3 linked regions of the Oreochromis niloticus genome follow. The protein of the gene in region 2 purifies or fractionates together with the protein of the main gene of each other region. This does not show direct contact. Links are inferred from orthologs where the notes say so. Each region holds a gene or a part of one and is shown on either strand. Other genes may lie near its edges. The genes, in order: eci2, mapk6 and cep170aa.

Region 1 (6,999 bases), on a different chromosome or scaffold from region 2:
AGGTCGTATCTGACTGTCTAAAGTAGGACTTTCAAGACTCAAATACTCCTGTTATTCAATTTTTACATCTCCTAAAATGATTAAACTGTCCAATTCTATTATAGTCAGCTTTATCTGGAAGAATAAAACACATTATATACGCAAATCACAATTAGTTAAAGACTATGAAAACGGGGGCTTGGAAGCTTTAGACTTTGAATCCATTATTGCTGCGTTCAGGCTCAGATGGTTAAAAGACTGCATTTCCTATCCTCAGTCTATGTGGGACCAAACAAACTCTTTAATAAGCTCGGGGGTTAGATTTTTTGCTCAGATGTGATTATGAAATATCTAAGATTCCTCTTAAGTTGTCTAGTTTCTATAAGCAAGCTTTGGATTTTGGGAAACTAATTTTCACCCACAATTCTGTGTTGTGGAATAACAGGGTCATAGTCATCAATAAGAATCCTTATTTAAATCAGACTGGTATGATAGAGGTGAGAGTTTTGTTGTTGATCTGCTTGATAAAAACAGAAACTTGCTATCTTACAAAGAATTTATTGATAAACATAAATTAGACGTTTCATTTAATAATTATAATAAGGTTTGTAAAGCGATACCCACACCGTTGTTAAATCTTATCGTAAATACTTTAAAGTGTTCACTAATAAGAACATGCTTACCTTCACTGATGGTAATATCTCAATAAAGGACAAACAATTTAATAATAAGTTAATCTCTAATACCTTTAAGCAAATAGTATTCTGTAACTATAATGTCAATGTCAGACTTGACCTTGATAGCATGTTGAAAGAAAAGTCATTTTCTTTTTACCTAAAATACCCACTTGTGCCTAAAATGAAAGAAACACTTCAGCATTTATCCAGTTGGAGACTTCCTGTATAAAAGGTTTAATTTTGAGGCCGACTCTTGTGCTTTCTGTTCTTCTGATCCAGAAACATTAGAGCATCTATTTTTCCCTCGTCAGTATGTTGATGCTTTTTGGTTTGAAATACTCTGTTGGGTTTCACTCAGAGTTTCCAATATACCTTCCTTCACATCTGAGGATGTTCTTTACTTTATGGACAATCTGGATTCTGAAATCTCAGATGTTGTAAGGTTTGTAATAGTGCTATGTAAGTTTTTTATTCATTCATGTAAGTGGAAGAATGCCTCTCCTCTGTTTACCGTCTTCTTCAATTACTTTTGTCATAATTTTAAGTCACTAGGGGGCGATCGTGGCTCAAGAGTTGGGAGTTCGCCTTGTAATCGGAAGGTTACCGGTTCGAGCCCCGGCTCGGACAGTCTCGGTCGTTGTGTCCTTGGGCAAGACACTTCACCCGTTGCCTACTGGTGGTGGTCAGAGGGCCCGGTGGTGCCAGTGTCCGGCAGCCTCGCCTCTGTCAGTGCGCCCCAGGGTGGCTGTGGCTACAACGTAGCTTGCCATCACCAGTGCGTGAATGGGTGAATGACTGGATATGTAAAGCGCTTTGGGGTCCTTAGGGACTAGAAAGCGCTATAGAAATACAGGCCATTTACCACTTAAGCTTATTTCAAATATGAATAAAAAACTGCTGTACTATACTGTAAAACCACAGAGTACTTGCTATTCTGAATATTCCTGCCTGTGTCAAAAGGCCCATGTTCCTTATTATTATACCTCAGATACTTTATTTTCTCCCTTTGAAATTAAAATGACTTACTTCACCATCTTTATAATGTAAATTGTTACAATGCTGGTCTGTTTCCTTGTCTTGTATTTGATCATTTCTTTCAATAAAGGATAAAAAAATTCATGCTCACAGACTGATACACAGACTGTTTGATCTCCAGAGATAATATCTGCGTTCATAACACCTGTTTATAACTCACCTGTTTAAATCGTATTAAGGATTAAAGTTTGCATTAATAGGGGCGTGGCCTCTTTGACTGAGAGGTGGATGGTGACACAGGTGGTTGTAGCTGCTAGCTGTCTGCTAGCTTCACCTGAACTGCACCTCTGGACCGTGTTTGTGCTGTTGGAGCATTTTTAATGACATCATGTGACCAATAACATGGCGGCTGTGAGGTTACTGTGGTAACAGAGCATCCAACAATGTGGAGCTCCAGGTTTTGTGCACAGTGAAATTTGAGAACTTTGATTGGGTGTTACTTAAACCTGCTCTTGATCCTACGGTTCTTGCAAATTACAGGCCTATCTCCAAACTACCTTTTCTTTCTAAAATTCTTGAAAAGGTAGTTTACAGCCAAATAATGGCCTTCCTGGAAAAGCAAAATGTGTTAGAGGTTTTCCAGTCTGGTTTTAAACCCTTTCACAGCACTGAATCAGCCCTTTTAAAAGTTTTTAATGACATATTTTTAGCGACTGATGCTGGGGACTGTGTTGTTCTTGTGCTTTTAGGTTTGACAGCTGCGTTTGATACTGTGGATCATGCCATTTTATTCTCTCGTTTGGAGCACTGGGTGGGCATTAGGGGCACAGCACTGGAGTGGTTCAGGTCTTACTTGGCAGGGCAAACTTTTTGTGTCAGTCTCGGTGACCATGTGTCGTCCTCCCCTCTTGTGTGGTGTCCCACAGGGCTCAGTTCTAGGCCCCCTCCTCTTCTCTTTATATCTGCTTCCTCTTGGTTCTGTACTGAGAAAGCACGGCATTGCTTTCCACTTTTATGCTGATGACTGTCAGATCTATGTCCCTCTAAAGAAAAAAGGCAGATACCTCACACAGCCATTACTTCAGTGTCTCGATGACATTAAAGCTTGGATGTCTGTTAACTTTTTAAAATTCAATGATAAAAAGACAGAGGTAATGGTTTTTGGTAGCCCCACTGAGACCCCCAATGTGTATTCCCTGGCCCAGTATGTTAAGCCAACTGTCACAAACCTGGGGGTCAAAGTGCACTGTGATCTGAAGTTTAATAATCAGATTAAGGCAGTGGTAAAATCAAGCTTCTTTCAGCTCAGGCAGTTGGCAAAAATAAAGCCAATTCTTTCACCGCAGCACTTTGAGACAGTGATCCACGCCTTTGTTAGCACTCGGCTGGATTACTGTAATGCACTTTATATTGGGGTCAGTGCATCATATATTAGTCATCTACAGAGGGTGCAAAATGCTGCAGTTCGTCTTTTAACTGGCACTCAAAAGTTTGAGCACATTTCCCCTATTTTAGCTTCACTTCACTGGCTGCCCATTTCTTTTAGGATTCATTTTAAAATTCTTGTATTTGCTTTTAAAGCCCTCCATGGCCTCGCCCCATCTTATCTCTCTGAGCTGCTACAGCTGTATACACCCACCCGCTCTCTCAGGTCAGCTGATCAGCTGCTCCTGAATGTACCCAGGACTGAGCGTAAACTTAGAGGAGATCGTGCTTTTGCTGCAGCAGCTCCAAAACTGTGGAACGAGCTTCCTTTAGAGATTAGACAGGCCAGTTCTTTACCTGTTTTTAAGTCACTCTTGAAAACCCACCTCTTTACCTTGGCCTTTGACACCACGTGAGATGTTGGTTTTTATTTTTATTTCAGTTGTTTTTAGGTGATTCGATGCTGTTTTATCTTGTTTTTGTTTTAATATAGGGCTGTTTTAATTTTATGTATTATGTGTTTTATTTATTTATATTTGCTGTTTTCTATTGTTCTATTGTTTTAACTTATTTTCTGTACAGCACTTTGTTCCTGTGCTGGGTATTTTAAAGTGCGTTATAAATAAAATTGGATTGAATTGGATACTTAATGAGAAGGTACCTATGTCTGTGTGATGCTGACATCAGCTGATAGCCTCTTAAATATGGTCACTTCTGGACAGAGAAAGCAACATGGTGGCAGCAAGAGGCTCCACAACTGTGCTACAGCCATCTTTTATATACAGTCTGTCCATTTTATTAGTTTCAAATCAAATCAAATCATGAGCTCAGTCTGTGTTGAAGCTGACTTTATTTATTTTTTGGCTTTATTCCATAGATACAGTCAGGACTGACAGGAAGCAGAGAGAGAGGAAGACATGCAGCAGTTCTCTTTAACCAATGGGAGAGCAGGAGATGACGGCGTGGGCGGGAGCAGCGATGTAAACATGTTAGCCGCTGATTAGCTCCACTGTGGCGACGCTAGTTAACCCTTCACCGCCTTAGCCCGTCCTCCCGAAGCTTGGACCCCCGGACCTGCGCTTTAATGGCCGGCATCGCCCTGAGGTGCTCCGCTGTCTGGCGCCGTGTCACATTAACAGGGTATGACCGGGGAGGCCCGCCGGTGCGGGGTGTTTGAGGCGGAACCAGAAGTTTAGATGCTAACTGTAGTTAGAAAAGTCTGTAGGAAGCTAACAGTTAGCATGGCTGTTAGCACTGAGTGTCGGGGGGTCTGTGGTTACCTGACAGCTAACGACATCTGTCAGACTCAGGTGTCACACAGAGACGGGCTGAGGCTGACAGGTGCGCTGCTCGCGCTCAAAGCGGAGAAATATCAGCTGTTATATAAGCAGCTAGCTGCAGCTAGCCACGACCTTTGCTCCACATTCAGACATGACCTGAAGATGAGGCTCAGCTTCATCCTCTGTTCATTCAGTGAGCGGGTCACAGGTGAGCAGACAGGTGGGCTGGCATGTTACAGCTCGTATTAGTGATGGGTAGATGAGGCCTCGTGAAGCGTTTCAGCACATTCCCCAAACTGTATCGGCACCGTGTCGACACAGTGTTGCTGTTTTGCTCCATACTGACACCTGCTGGACCTTAAATATCATTGCAGGCAACTTACTTGAGACTCACAACATTTCACAACAATTCAATGACCTAGTCATACTTGTACACTGTAAGGTATTGTACTTTCTATGGAATCATTTTATATCTTTTATATTGCAAATATTGTAGACATCACCAGTGTGTGAATGGGTGGATGACTGGATGTGTACAGCACTTTGGGGTCCTTAGGGACTAGTAAAGTGCTATACAAATACAATACATCTTTAAAATATAGTGTGAATGACACTAAGTGAAAATTAAAATGAAAGTGTTGTGAATGTAATATTACCCATTCGACTCAGAGTTTATTATAAATTTCTAATCAGAAAAATAAGTTTATTCAATCTTTTTGCATTCAGTCTATTGCGGTTTTTTTTTTTTTTTTACACCATTTCCCCAGCTTTGGAAAACTCACCGGCACAGATGAAGCTGGGGTACACAAAAGCTGTAAAGTCAGGTGGAAAAGGTTCTGATGTGGTGTCTTCCTATTCCCCCAGTACGTTAAAGGATCCTCTGATCTTGGGATGTTTCTCTCCAACACTCTCCACAATACTAAGGGGTTGGCAGTCCTTTATAATAAAATTCAGGACTGCCTGGCCCAGAGCAGTCTTCCTAGATGCTTGATTTGAAAAATAAAACACATATTAATAAAAAAAAAAATTATGATATAGGCCGACCTGTGTTCATTCTCGGTGTGTTTGTCTCCTCATTTTCATGTTTGGCTCTGTAATGCCTAAACATTGAGGAGGTGCTTTTGTTTGTGTAAGAAATGCAGAACAGATGCAACATTTAACCTGCATAAAATGAAATAAATAATTTACACTTCAACTCACATTGCTGTTTTTCCTATTCTGATAGATTACACTGAAACAAAGACAGACAAACTATTACCTTATTTGCAGTTAAAAGATCGAAATGATCCCACACAACAGAAACATTTCTTTTTCTTTTGGGCTCCATTTTGTTATGGACAGATGTGTATTTTTTTTTTCTTTGCCAGAGTAATTTTGTGGGGGGGGTTTTTGGTGGCGACTCATTCCGTTGGCAGGTGCGGATGCGGTACCTTTTAAACACAGTTTGGCGCGTTGGTAATGAGCGATACAGCAGCTGTATCGATCACGTGGCTTTTTCTTAAAGTGACGCACGCACCGATACAGGCTTCGCTCTGTGAGCTTGATACATGCGTCGGTGCGTCAGTGTTGCTGGACCCATCACTAGCTCATATTATTCACTCTGAAGATGGAGGTTCTGCTCTTAAATGACGATGAAGCCACAGCAATACTCTTCATCACTGAGCTGCGCCTGTTTGGGTGAAGCTGTAGTGAAAGTGTGAGTCAGGTTAGTCATGATTGGCTCTGTAAACACTGTGTGTGCTTCTGTTTCCAGCTCAGTCCGATCCAACATTCCCAGCCTGAAGTTTCACACCACAGCGTCTCCCATGATGGGTGAGTATCATCATCATCATCATCATCATCATCCATGATGTTCACAGCAGCAGGAGAGCCTTCAAAGCACAGTGAGTTATAAACAGGTGTTATTATGGAGACGGAGAGGACAGAGCCCGGAACAGGTTTGAATCATGTTTATTTCTGCTGGGATTTTATAATCTCACAATAAGTTCTCCACGTTCATCTCAGAGGCCCTGAGGAGCTCAAACAGCTGATGATGATGATGATGATGATAATGATCGGGGACTCTCGGTGATGATGTCATTGCGTGTTTTCAGGTGTGACGGTGGAGCAGTTTGAGCAGGCGAAGAGCAAACTGTCGACGCTGAAGAACGACCCGGGCAACGAGGTCAAACTGAAGATCTACGCTCTCTTCAAACAGGTGCCAGTTCCCCACATGTTCTAGATGTTCCACACGTTCCACACGTTCCAGATGTTCCACATTCAGACATTTGGTGTTCTGGAAAATTCTCACGTGGAGCTTTTCAAAGCAGGTTTTAAAATGGTTAATCCAGATTTGTCAAACCTTTTTTAAAAAAAAAATCATGTCCTCCTTTAAAAAAAAGTATTAGCTTAAAAAAATGATACTTATGAAAACTTCATAAAACTGTCTAATTTTCATTAACCTCAGTGTAAAAAACTAATTTAATTGGTGTTACTGTGGGACTGATTAGATTTGGTAGTGAAGGAAAATATAAGTCTCGTTACTGAGCTTCACTGCTGCCACCTGCCAGAGTCTTACGTCAGCTGTGGGGCCGGCTGTGGGGTCAGCAGCTGCTTCTGTTTCTGCTCGTTCTTCAGCAGTCGGTCGTCCCGGTTGGAGATGTGAGTAAAACTATGCTCAGCGT
Region 2 (6,920 bases):
CAACCCACTATTACATAGATAGAATTCTGTAATTATCTCTAGTTCTAATACCCTAACCCCACTCTGGGTTCACTGGGTTCATTATTCAGACAATAACATGCCCTAGTTTAGATGCAGTGAGTTGGCACTGCTTCATAAATAATGAAATTTAACTTAGATTATTTGCATTATTTCTAAAAATCACGAATTAATCACCTCACGTTTCTGATCATTTTTATTATCACAGAAACACAACTGTGTCATATTACTCATAATACATGTATTGATATTTTAGCAGTGTAATGAACAATTAAGTTGGTAAGCAACTAAAATGTCAGCAACTGGTGATTGAATTGGTTAAAATAAAAACACAAAAAACAATCTATTGTTTCCAGCCCAGACCTTTGACAGTCTTTATATCTCTATATTAAATATTATATCATGCAAATAGAGAGTTGTGGAGCTGTAAGCTTCGAGCAGTACTTGAATACAGCAGGAGTCATTCAAAACATTTGAAGTTGGAGTTCATTCCAGCTCAGTGTTTGTGTTTATAGACCAAGTGATAACAGCACTGTACCACAGGCAATAATACTTGCAGGAAATATGACCTCACCATCACCATCCTCATTATCACCTCTTGATGCATGCAAAGTTCAACCAGCCGTAACTGCAGGCCATTTTATAATAGACTAACCCCCAGAAGTAACAAACCTCTAGAAACAGTTTTTTTTGTTTTTTTTTGTTTTTTGTCACTTGTTCTATTATGCAACATAAAATGAGGATGCCACAAGATAATGGACCAGGAAGAACATTCTGTACCCATCCTATTTTATCTCCTATCTGGAAATCTGGGGGGTGGAAATACTGCATTATAACCTGCAGAGCAGATACAGCTGTTCATTTGAGTTGAAACACCTCAGTGCATCATTTGCTTACACTTTGCTCTTTAGTATTTTACATTTAAAATCTGAGTTGTCCTCCAAATAGAAAATGATTGCCTATTTATTGCCTCTCAGAATTTCTGTTGAGAACGCGTCATCCCTCTATTTTCCAACCATTGTTAAATTTTATTAAAAGCAGCATCAATAGTAAGAATGATATTATTTGTCTTTTCTTTGCAAAACGAAGCTGTTTTCTAACTTTTTGTTTCATTTATTATTATTTTTTAGTGACGCGCAGTAGTGGTCTTGTCAGTGACTTAAAAAAAATCCGGACAGGTCACTCACATGCGCCATGCGGATTTACTCCCTTTGGCACCGACAAGGTGTTTCTCTTTTAGCGGCCCGACGTCACATCAGATCTCCGCGAGGATTACACATCCCAAGGAAAAGAAGTGAAGAAATCAAATACGGCACTGATTTGATTCCCTCATTCTACGGATGGTCCCGCGGAGCGTCCGGTCCCTCCTCTCTGTGTGGATGCTGTGAATGGATGGAGGGATGGAGAGGGAACGGGTGGGCGGGCAGGAAGGAGCATCATAGCCGCAGAAGTCTACATCAGCATCCGCATGCAGACCATGTGAGTGCCCATGTGTCCGACAATGCGGCTGGCTCTTACGGGCCGGGGTGGGCTCTGCGATGGAGGACAGAGAGAAACTACATGCTGCCGGAACGTGATGCGGCTCGGTTACGAGTGAGAAGGAGAGAGAGAAATGTTGGGAAAGGACCTGATATAGTTCACCGCTGCTCTTAACATCAGATTATGATTGGGCTATATGTTATCCCGCCCATTAATGCTCCCATAGACGTGGAGTTATGTGAAAACGCAGTTTTATGAGCTATATTTTAAAAGCATAAAGATGCAGCTGAGGTGTTATTTATTTATTTATTATTTGTTGGTTTGGTAAATCTATTATTTATAGGGGGCTTTTCAAGAAGAAATGAGTGAAACTGCCCTTAGAAACCTGATTGACTGTGCTTGTAAAAGTGATGCAAATGTTGTCAAAATGATCCTTTATTTCTGAACCATCCTGTACAAAAAGATCCGGTAGCAGCTTCACTGTCTTTGCTCCAAGTCACTTCTGTTGAGCTGATCGGGCAGAAATCAGAAAGAGAGAACTTCTCTTTACTGGCATCTAGTCCTTTTGCACTTAACTCACTGATTGTGTGCAATAAAAAAGCTCCACTGAGAATAACGGGATGTGATATAGAGCTCCCTCGCCCCCACGAGTGCTCTTTGCTCTGTAGAGTCAAGAATGGAGGTCAGAAGATAAAGTCACATACTTTATCTTTCATGAGACCCTGCCCTCACGTTTTGATCACGTTGGAGACAGAAGATCCTGACTTCTCTTACTTAGTCATTAATGATATATCTCCACCACTCTGAGTCATTACACTCTGTGCTCCGGGCTTCCTCTCTTTTATCATGAGATATAAGAGAACTGTTTCACCAAGTCTTACACTGAAACATCTGACTGAGATGTTGGTATTTTACTTCTGTTTCTGCCACTGTCTTTTTATCATTGGCCCAACACAAACACAGCACTATTGCAGTTCATCAGTCTTGTTTGCTGTGCACAGAGTGTCTCATGTGTGGAAAATGAGTGTGTGCACATGCTGTCAACCTGCCTGTCACAGTGGTAAGAGTCTCTTACCAAAGCGCGCACTTTTACCTTTAAAGAGTATCCGAGTTTATCTCAGCTCCATTTCTGGACATTGCTATCCTCCTGCATGCATCCCCTGTTTTATTATGTTGAACCTGTTCTTCATTTATTCAAAGTCTGCACAAAAACTAAAATGTCCTCAGCTCCTTTCACTCTCAAGCTTGCTCATACCTTTATGAAAGACAAAAATCTTCTGGTCTCTTACCATGGCTGAAATTCTCCAGTGATGAATGGAGCAACATGGTGCCTGAGTTAATAGTCCATTCAGAAGAGTATGCTGTATGTCCGTCACTCCTAGTCCGAAAGGCAGAAAGCTTGAAAGACCCAGTGCACTCCACTGTCTGTTTATATGTGTGTGAATGTATTCTCAGAGCCTTGGCGGTGTGTTATCCTACTCCATGTGCCTCTGGTTGTGAGGTGGAGCTCCATGGAAAGTTAATATAGGCCAAGCCGGAGAGGGGAGGAGACTGCACTGTGTTTGGCTTGGCCTTAGACAGAGCAGTGTGTCAGACACATAGAATCCACCTTTCTCTGTCTCTCTCTCTCTCTCTGCCACTTTTCGTACTCTTTTCTCATTCTTAAAAAAACCCTGTTATTTTCAGATTTGCTCACTTTTATTTTGTAAAAAGAAAAAGAGTTAATTATCTATAGCCTGTCCTGAAATAAACTCTTGCTTCTAGGTAAGACACTCAGGAGTTATTTGTCTTTTTTTCTTTTTAAAAAAAAAAATCAATTTGCTTAAATGGGAGAAAACAGTTTTTGGTCACACATTTCGAAACTTGACTATCAAGTCATTGTTTGCAGACAACCAGACTAGATACATCTGCACAAAGAGACCCTTTTATGTGTGGGCATGTGGTGTATCCTTGGAAGGGGTGTCCTCTGGGTTTATTGCTCTCTTTCATTGTCTGTTTCAGTAAGGGTGTTCGTGAACTTGTGAATTTACAAATGCCAGACATGAGTTTCTGCTGATTCTATAGGAAAAATCATTTCCAGTTTTTCTGTTGCCCCACAAATCTGGTTTTGCCTTCCCTGAAACCTGCGTCTGTTCTCTGCCTAATCACAGCATCTCACTGGGTCTGCTACTTTCTGGCGGTGCTCCTTCCTCTGTCCTGTCTACTTGTCGTGCAGCACGTCCCAGTGTCTTGACAGGCTTGACAGGCTGGCATGTTTGGACTGTAAGGAAAGACGTGCATGCACATTTGTTTGATATCCAAACCAGACCGCTGCAGAGTCTGGACCAGCTGTATGTTATCAAAATATGCATGTGAGAACATGAGGTCAAGCTGCGGGTTTGGGGTTGTTTGCCTATATTTTGCTTTTTAAATTGTCACTTGTTTGCAAGGGATTAATCAATGGAGTGCGGTGCTTATGCTATAAACTTGTGCGCTGCCATGAGCATTGCCTGTGCAAGCAATGCTGCGCTCACTTGTTAAACAGCATTAATTAATTAATCACTGATTACCCTGCCTGAGTGCAGTGAAAAACCGTTGCATAGCACAGCTTACAGAAGCAATAAGTCCTGCTCTCGGTAGAATGACCAGCACTAATCTCTGATGCTTTTCACTACAGTGTCCTCTGTTATATAACAGTCTGCCTCACCGGAGCTCAAACTAAGGTGCAGAACGGCTCACGAAGGAGTTTCAACTCTCGCACCCTTGTAAATGACCATATGACCACAGGACGTGTACAGCAGCTATATAATCCATACACACTCTGTCTGATGCTGCGCTAGTCGGGTATTTCACAGTGTTGTGAAAGAGGCTGTGAAGTGTTTGTCATTGTGTCTCCAGTGCAAGGGGCAAATGTGTTTATGCAATGGCATGACTTGCATATCTTGACAGATGAGGTAGTGTTTCTGTGTTTTAAAAACTTTTTTTCATGTATGATCACTTTATTTCCAAAGCTTGTTGTGTTTAAATTGAACTGGACTTCACTGCTGCACTGCTGCTCAAAGGTAAAGCAAGCCAACTGTATTGAAAAAGCACATTTCATGCATAGAGGTAGTTTCGGGGTGCTGTATGAGACAAAAAAAACAACACAGAACAAGTCGACAAGTGCACATTTTTGAATTTAAAAGGAAAAAAGTTCAACTTAAAACCACATGGGGGCACAATAAAAAGAGTATACTTATATAAAACTGAACAATAAAAATAATAATGCACTGATGTTAGAAAATCCAAGTGTTTGTGAACTGTCTGTCTGTCTTCAGTCTGGATTGAAGGAGCGTATTTAACGACACTTAAGTTCATGTCAAGGACAGATGAGTTCACATCCAGCTGTTCAAACGATTTACTCCAGCGGGAGGTTGTTAGTGGGATGTGACAGTACGATTACGCAAGACACAATAGTGCCACCACCACTGGCATGAAAATCAGGCTGTTCTTTTTATTTGGGATAGTGTACTTTGGTTCAATTCTAAGATGAGACCACACCATGTGTAGCGTGTATTCAGTATCAAATCACTTTTGAAATTAAAAGATTGCAGAATGATATCTCTAGTGATTTTTAAATTAACACAACCTTCATTCATCATATCAACCACATGACCAAAAAGTGTGTCAGAATGAAATCTCTGCTTTGCGCGAAAGATAGATTTTGAATAAGTCAGAAACCAGAACTGCGTGTCTGCAGATTATAAATGTGCAATCTCTTTTTTTTATCAGCATATTTTCATTGCTGTATTTTTGGAAGCAAACAGTGAGATGAAATGCAAGGAGAGGAATAGACCATCTGCCTTTTCTTTGCTTTTCTCTCGCCATCTGTGAGTGGAGAATCCTCACTCGCAGGATTGCTGGGGGTATGATCCGTCCGCCTCTCTGATGTGATATAACCTGTTTTGTCTGCTCCTCGCCCGTCAGACAAATGACAAAATAGTACATTCTTGGGATACTCTGAAGTGAAATGATTAAGTGATCTGGCAGGTACACTGTGTGTATTGTGTGTTCTGTGTGCTTGATGTGATTGGATTTGTTTGTGTGGGGTCAGAGATAAAACTGGGTGTTTGGTGGTGATGTAAGAGGATCAGAGGCTCTGGAATCTGGAGGTTTCTTAACAGCACTAATGCAGAAAGCATTCACTGCTTATGAGTTTGAATCTATTCAACAGGTTCAGGTGAGACAGATTAATAAAAGTCACTGTCCAAACACTGAAGCTGTATGGCAGGATATTATTGCATAATCGTAATCAAAAGCAAATAAAAAGAGCAACCGCTGTATTGAGCAAGAGCATGTTGATTATTAAAAGATTAAAATAATTCCTCTAAATGAGCCGGGATTCTGAGTACATCATAAACCTGATACGTGGTTCATTTCAAGGTAAGTTGCTAAACGTTTGATGACACTTGAGTGGACAGTTTGTTGTTTTTCTTTTCATGGCAATAAAAGCATAAAGATTAGAAAACAAGGTCAAAGTCAGATGCTGAACATGTTTTACGCCACAGCAGTGCCAGAACAAATCCTGAAGGGGATCATAAAGCCGAGATAAGTCCACCCAGAGCATGCTGTCCACAGCACTACAACAGAAGACTGAGGGAGAGCTGGACTGTGATAACGATATGAAGTATGACACACCTGCGAATGAAAAAGCTGCGTTTAATATCAGATATCTCGATGTGTGATAATGATACAACCACACACCTCTGTCCCGTCACTGTCTTTTTACTGTCTACAAGGTCTTATTACTCATAATATTTGGGTTTAAAATAAGACCAAGGACATCCTGTGCCATCAGTATCAACTCTCTCCTGTCTCAAACTTCTGCATTCATCTCCTTCAGTGTGATGTTTTCATGTTTATGAGCTGAATCAGATGGTTTTCTAAACTCATCTATCTTATCTTATCTTATCTTATCTTATCTTTTCTTGTCTTTTCTTTCTTGTCTTATCTTATCTAAAATGTGTTTGTGCTTATTTATGCACAAAGGGGTTATAGTGCAGTTAGAAGACTTAATTTTGAATAATTACATAAGATCGTCCTTATCTTTCCTCTCTGACTTTCCAGCACACAGACGCATTTCCATTGTCTGACTTTAGCAATTCTCTCTAATCCTCGGCAGCCGCAGCATCAAGCTTCTTATCACACATCGGGGTCACACCAGCAATGAGCATGGGATTGATTAGCTCCCTCTGTCACACCAGCACTCTTTAAAGATTGATCCCAGATGAGCCTGAATCTCACTTCAGCTTTCCCATCAACTAAACCCTCTCTTATAATATCTCAAAATTCAGGGGCATGGCAGAGTGGCTGGTGTGTTGATGAGACGCAATACTGGGCTATGAAGCCAACCAAAGTGTTGAGATTACTAGCATATGATCACACCTCGCTGTGACAGAAGTCAG
Region 3 (7,186 bases), on a different chromosome or scaffold from region 2:
TGCTCACGTATTACAATAAAAACTGATTCAGACCTCAAATAATTAATCAACATTTAGAAGTACTTTTAACTTTTCATACATTTACATTCCTTTGTAGGAATGCTGGAATCTCAATATTAAGCATTTTTAGTGAAAAACTGACTTCCCTACAATTTTTGGACCCTTTGGTGGACTTGCAATCATTTGACACCCCCGCTCTAGCTCCACTAGTAACTACATCACAGTTAAGATGATACACTGGTGATGTTTCAAATTACTTGTTAAGCTTGAAATCACAAACTCAAGACCAACCTTTCGGTGACGTAATGATGCATGCATGAAGGGGTTAGATGGCAATGCCAGCTGAATGAGATTAATAAGATGTCTCGGGTAGCAGTTTTAATGGCAAAGATGGAGCATGGAAATGTACGAATGGCATTTCGAAAAGCACAAAACAAGTGAAAACTGGCAGGCATGCAGCAGACATATTCTAACTAAATGAAGTTTGATGATGTCTGTTATAATCACATCTAATATAACACAAACGTCATCATTCTCCATATCACAATCAACAATATGCACCTGTAGCTTCTTAGAAATCTGTCGTATGTACAACAAATTCATATCCTCTACTATCTGGGGAGTGTCTTTCAGAAGACTAGGGCACGGCTGCATGCTCTTTGCCTGCAGGGAGATTAGTTGGAGCAGTATTAGAAGGAAGCAAACATACAATGATGATGCAGCGTACACGGATATGGTTTCAGGGAAGTGAATATTGACAAAAGGGGCACTGCCCCGAACTAGCTTTGCCCTGGAGGGTTGAAATCCAGCTTGAGAAGGGCGTTAGCAAGTCAAGTCGCAGTACATGAAACTATGTTATTAAAGCCATGTGAATTAAAAAGATCAGCATTCGCATGTTTGACGTGCACTTTGCACCCACTCCATTGGGTAAATCATACAAAACAATCACTGTCGTACCGCCCATACCTCTGTTTGTAGGAATAAAGTACTCTGTCGTATTTTCTTTCGTTTAATCTCCATATCCACCGCGGAGCCGGCCAAAAACAATGACCTGGAGCCCCCATTTTTCTTGGAAGTTTGAACATCCCGCGGATCGTCCATGTTGTATGTCCATTCGCTAACAGCAGCTGCACCAGCAGCGTATTCCTGCTCCTGCTTCCAACGGCCGGGGGCGGTTCGATTTCTATTATCTTACCTCCCGAAAAAGAAATGTCCCGTCGTGTCAACATAAAGTAAACCCATTACAAAAGCTTAAAAGTGTATTGTTCTCTCAGCACATTTAATATCATATCAAATAAATAAAAATTAGGGTATAAAATGTAACCAAGCTACGACTTAATAAAATGTTGTAGTCACCATGTCACGCTAGATCAAACCTTAAAATTAAAACAAAATTAAACTCTAACTTACAAATGTCCTATGGAATCGAAATCATTAAATAACAAGAATTAAATAAAGAAAAAGAATACTTTAACAATAATACATAAAAGGGTACAGTTCAAATATAAACATGAAAAAACGTCCCGCTTTTCCCGGCGGCACTGCCATACATAAAAACGAGTGCCTTTACGTCAACAGGGAGGGGGCGTCATTGCGTCAGTGTGTCAGACAAAACAGGGCTGAACCGTTTTCGAGTTTGAATTTTCAGACAGTATAAAATCATAGACAGTATCAGATAACATATATTTTATTACATATGTTATTATTGTATTTTATATTTAATTCATCTGAAAATGTATTTTAAATATTATAATATAATACATACAAACATGCAATTAACTAACAGGCTGTAATGCTAATTTAAAAGTATAATTCTCACGTTTATGCAATGAGCATTTCCATTTTGAGCTCCCATTTTTAAAGCAAAACAAATATGAATCTTTTATATGTTACTGCCATTTGATCAACCTCTGCAATTTCATATTTTTTAAAAGCGGTGGATGTTTTTCTTGTAGTGCCACATCCCTAATTAGTTTGATAATCTCGAGTAGTAATTGGTTCCTGAATATCATGCAGCAGATACAGCCTTCATTATCAGCATGACCTCTGCACAGTCCAGGTGGTGGTACTGTAACAAAAGACCCCGGAACGTAACCAGTGTGAGTCCAGGAAACCCGCCCACCCGGTTCTGGCTGACATCGCTTCTGGTTGAGTTGGAAGCATCCACGGTTGCAGTTGTGGACGCAGGCGCTGCTGAGGATGAACTCCGTCAAGCTGGGGAGAGAAATTCCACTAACACAGGAAATTACATCAGCTTTTAAAAATAAAACGCAGGATTTTGAATTTTAGACGAGGTTGACATGCAGTATAATCCTCTGAGTCACTCAGTACACAGTGATGTCAGCTACTTTACCATCTGTAGAGTACTGTTAGAGTGACTGCCCTACAATAATCCATATCTGTCCATATTTAATACACTGTAACGTTTTATTTCACACTCCTTGAATCAGGAACTAGTCTACAATTGCACCAGCAGCAGACCTATCTATAAGTGGAAAAAGAGTTTTGTAAACATACAGGCATGTGCCTGAAATCCATTCATTCCTAACAGGATGCAAGAGCTTGGAATTTTATTGGGGAAGTGCTATAGTGGGTTTATGGCTTTAAAATGACTTGTCATGTCTTTCTTACTTATATTTTTAAGTAATTTAATCTATGATATCAGTCTTTATCTCTATAATGCTTTTAGTAGCATTGGGTCTAGGGTACAGTAATTCCATAAATATGGTATTACTGTAGATACAAGTTTCTTTTTTTCTTTTTTTTAACTTTCCCCATATAATAAATTATTCAAAATACTAAGGGTTATTACATGCAAATTTTGTCAAAGAATGGTTTCACATATCCCAAAATATAAAAGGATCCATGGGGACACAATGCACACAATCTTGGCTTTATAAGTTAGAACATGATATTGAACTTTTTAGTTGAAACTCATAACAGAAAGACTTTGGTTGAACCTCTGGTTTAACTCAGGTGATCATGAGATTATAGTTGTGCGCATTGTTCTGAATATTACGTTTATTTCAGTATCAAATACACAAATAAATAAATAAGTAATTTAAAAGCTTTCTGGGGAGACAGCGTTTAAACTGTGAACGTCACACACCTTGCAGTTGGGGGGCAACCTTCTACTCATTTTTTCATATGTGTTGTGTCAAGCTGCTTTGAGAGCTCAATGAGGAAGACCTGTCAAGCACAGATAATACCATTTTTGAATTCAGGGTGCTGAGCTGTGAAAAAGGTGTAGGTATTCAGGGTGGCAATGTGAAGTTGTAACACAGCACCATGGGCCATCTCTATGTTTTACACTTGCAGGTGTAGGTGCCAACCATCTTGTACATAGTATCTACACCTCCTTTGGTCTTGTTATAGAATTTGATTAATTAGTGTTTTTTTCCATTTCTGGTATTTTCATCCCCCATTTTGTTGTGATACATCGAGTACAACAGCCATTTCTTTCTTGATGACATAGCTGACTATGGTATCACAAACGTATCACATGTATCACAAACCCAGAAGATCTTCAGGCCATACTTGACGGGCTTGTTTGGCAGTGACACAATCACTCGGGATGAATTGCCGTCTGAATGTTGAATAAATGCTGTCTTTTAATCCTAATTTCTCTAATAAGAAGGATGTTTCATGAACTTTCTCATTTACCATTTTTTAATTACCATACATTCTGTACATTCTTAGAACTGTTTCAACCTATTCTTTTTGCAAACTAAAAACATCAAAATCACATCACATCACATCACAAAAAACAAAACAGAAAAATTGCTATCTACTATGGAAGCTCGTTTCCACCACTAAAAAACCCCAACATTATTTGCCATCCATATATCAAAATTTCAGGTTTTTATCTAAAAAAAAGTCAGAGAAAATAACTCCAAAATGACATAAATCAAAAATAACGTAAAATTTCCAGTTAATTTTGAGAAATAAAATATCCTGAAATGAAGACTTATGAATATCAATTTAAACCCCCCCCCCCCAAAAAACCTAACTCAACTTCCTTTTAGCGGAAGCAAATTTCCATACTGTGACAGCGGTATGATTAAAACTTAAAACACCACTGAAATTATGATCGACGCCTCAACTCGGAAATCTGAGTATCCTGTTGTCTCTTTGACTTTTATTTTGAAACTTCTGACCGGAGGCAGTGATTGGTCTATTTGTCACTTTGACGCCTCTTTCAGGATGTTGGTCCGCTCGCCGCTGTTTTGCAGGGAGTCAGTAGCTTATTGCTGAGCAACGGAGGGAGAGAAGGCCCCCGCATAGAGCCAGACTGAACTGCAGCAACGACAGGGCTGGGCTCCACACGCAGTCACAGAGCAACAAACATCTTTAAGGAAAGGGTAAGTGTGGAGTGTACTTGATTTTTTTTCTTAGCGAACAGTATACAATTGACAGCCCGTAGTATGGTTTTAGCTAGGTGGTTGACCGTTACTCACGTGAAGTTTGCTGCAGACAAAAAAATATAAAGAGTCGCTTTTGCTTTCCTTCTGCACATCCACTGATGTCAGTTTCCTCTTTCAGTGAGCTCATAGAAAATTCCCCCAAATTTTCAAACCATTAAATCTGTATTAAATCTGAGTAAAATTTAGGAAACAAAAAACACTCCGGCTCTTGTAACGACTAAACAGATTGGTCTGACTCCCTCTTGGCTAACGGGATGGCTACTATTGTCAGCAGCGGCATGACAAGCATACCCTGCTCCACCTTTGTAAGCCGCACAGACTATAGCCACTTTGCTGCCCTTGTAAAAACACCGGCCGCATACTGCTTCACTCCAGATCAATACTATTGTTTACTACTGACCTGATTTTGTCCAGTAGTTGCATCCTTTTGTAGCCAGACAGAGGCTAATCGAGACAAGATGCACATCAATGAAGGTCGGTCACACTGAACGCTTTGTTTATCTTAGTGGAAACATGCTACCCCCGGGGTCTTCTTTTAGTCTGTATTGTCTAAGAGGTAGATTTTATGGGGAGGTTTTACTCTAAGTAAGGCAACTGCCGAGTGTTTTCCGATAACGGACCCCCCTCCTCTTCTTCTGTGTGGAGGCTTTGTTTTCGTGGGGCAGATGTAGCTGGCCTGCATGCATCCGCTCTCTTTGTGTTGAGTTTGATTTTTTTTTAGCTGTCATCATCACATTAGCTGTAAAACTTTTGAAAATAGCAGCAAATGCTTTAGTTTAAATGCCATATGGTAATTTGATAACTCTCCCACAGGCTGTTCATAAGCAATTGGTACTTCATGCTAGAAATCAATGCAAAAATATTGTAATTACGGTTTAATTACTGTTACCAATTTAGCACAAATGCTAGAGGAAGATGCATATCAATCGAAGCCTCACAGCTGTTCAAAACATTTAAAATTAATATTTATATTCACAGCATTAGAAACTGTTATATTTTATTTATTTAGCTATATTATGCTCTTAAATTTCATCCTGTAGACTCAAAGGTGCTGGTGAAAGTCACTTGCAGCTCTGGTCTGAGTTTATAACCCGATTAGATGTTCTTTGAGAGCTACGTGTTTCACATCAGTGTGTCTTGCTAGTCTCCTCCCTCAGCTGTAAGAATTCAAATTTCTTGGGTTCGAGCCAAAAGAATGTGCAGATAATACCATCCAATCCAGTTTTGCTCCTTTTCCCTTTTCTCCCCTTTTTCCGCCTTCTTCCTGTGTTCTCCCCACAAATGTGGCTGCCAGCAGGGTTGTTGGCTCCACTGGCGGTTGCATTTTTAAAAACTGTGTCAGTGTCACAGGACGTTTGCTGCACTCTCGGAGAGGAAGCAGCAAACTGACTGAAGCTAAACTACAGCCAAGCCTGACTACAGACGTGTCTATTACACTTAAAACATAGCTTTTTTGAGTTTTATTTTTCTTTAGAAAAAAAATCTAGAAGCTTCTTGCAGTAATTCGACTATCAGTGCTGTTTGATCAACTCACATTTAATGTGCAGTGATGTAAATTACCATACTCATTGAAATCCTGCTTTTTCACCCTGATATTCTTTCTCAGCATCTTAACTCAATCTGCTGTTCAAAGAGTAATTTGTATGCATATAGTATATCCTTCAGTAATATTTTCAATTCTAGTTTCAAGTTGGGGACATTTTTGGAGACTCTTACTCAGCCTGCCCACAGCCATTGTGTATAGTAGGAAGTTTAGGAAGTGAGTTCATTTTACTTCAGTGGCCCGGGAGTGTTATGTGTGACAGAAAACAAGCCAGTCTTGAACTTAGTATCTGATTGTATTCAGTTGTATTTAAGATGTTGTTAAAAGTTTTGTAATTGGGAGCCTGTAGCTAAAAATAGAAGTGAATCTCAGTTTTGTAATCTGCCAGAGTAGAAACGTTAAAAGGGTTATGAGAGTCACATAGCCTTGCCTGGTAACGCTCATGCTGGCGTGTGGTGTCAGAGGGAAAAACAAGAGAGGTGAATAGCGAAGTCTGTGGTTAGAAATTGGGAGAGACAGCACAGTATACCAGACAAAATTCCCCAAAACAAGCATGGAGCATTTTATATATACAATCATCAGCCGCTCCCTTGTTATGGAACATAAAGGGTGTGTCTGATTTAAAAAAAAAAAAAAAAAAAAAAAAAAATGCCATTTAACCTCTCACAGAAAGAGAAATTGCACATCTGTTTTGGGGTGTAACATACTCCCCTCTGAGTTTCCTTCATTTGATACTTCTTTCCACTAGATATCAATCTTATATTTGAACATGTTCTATTCTCATCTTTCCCTCTGCCAACTCCTGATTGTCCTGTTATGCTAACGTTTATGTTTTTTCCCTTCTAAGTGCAAGAGTGAGAGAGTTCACTATTTTTATCTGCTACTGAAGCTATTGCTACAGCCAGGATAAATGTTGGCACCATAATCAAAGTGGCAGGGTTGGCCAAATACTAATGTTCCTGTTAAAGGGCCATTGGTTAGTCATTATCTGCTCAGCAGGGGCTATGCAGGGCCATTAGAGCAGTCATCAGACCAAAGGTATATTTGAAATGACTGCAATATGTTTTCTATGTAAATGGAGTTTGTATGTTGTGCTCTCTTGATGCTAAAATAGGTATAACTATCTACATGAATAATTAGTTAGTTAAAAGTTTCAGGTTTTTGTAATTTAATATTCATTTCTGGAAGTTTAATAGGTAATTCATGTTATTTTTTTCAT

Evidence for each region.
Region 1: the proteins of mapk6 (region 2) and eci2 purify together in Homo sapiens (affinity purification with mass spectrometry; 3 studies listed by BioGRID and IntAct, with this or other methods). This does not show direct contact. The link is inferred for Oreochromis niloticus from reciprocal best matches to the Homo sapiens genes MAPK6 and ECI2.
Region 3: the proteins of mapk6 (region 2) and cep170aa purify together in Homo sapiens (affinity purification with mass spectrometry; 3 studies listed by BioGRID and IntAct, with this or other methods). This does not show direct contact. The link is inferred for Oreochromis niloticus from reciprocal best matches to the Homo sapiens genes MAPK6 and CEP170.

The regions. Positions count from the first base shown.
Region 1 is NC_031974.2:3,676,592-3,683,590, reverse strand, and holds the start of eci2 (enoyl-CoA delta isomerase 2), read left to right. Parts: upstream 1-3,990; 5' UTR 3,991-4,140; coding exon 4,141-4,196; intron 4,197-4,244; exon of another isoform or gene 4,245-4,544; intron 4,545-6,089; coding exon 6,090-6,148; intron 6,149-6,170; exon of another isoform or gene 6,171-6,182; coding exon of another isoform or gene 6,183-6,219; intron 6,220-6,429; coding exon 6,430-6,533; intron 6,534-6,999. UniProt on the Homo sapiens protein: Able to isomerize both 3-cis and 3-trans double bonds into the 2-trans form in a range of enoyl-CoA species. Has a preference for 3-trans substrates.
Region 2 is NC_031965.2:13,502,696-13,509,615, reverse strand, and holds the start of mapk6 (mitogen-activated protein kinase 6), read right to left. Parts: upstream 3,001-6,920; 5' UTR 2,787-3,000; intron 1,416-2,786; exon of another isoform or gene 1,206-1,415; intron 1-1,205. UniProt on the Homo sapiens protein: Atypical MAPK protein. Phosphorylates microtubule-associated protein 2 (MAP2) and MAPKAPK5.
Region 3 is NC_031978.2:11,267,205-11,274,390, reverse strand, and holds the start of cep170aa (centrosomal protein of 170 kDa), read left to right. Parts: upstream 1-4,186; 5' UTR 4,187-4,361; intron 4,362-7,186. Other genes in the region: rtkn2 (rhotekin-2), read right to left, coding at 562-663, 967-1,101.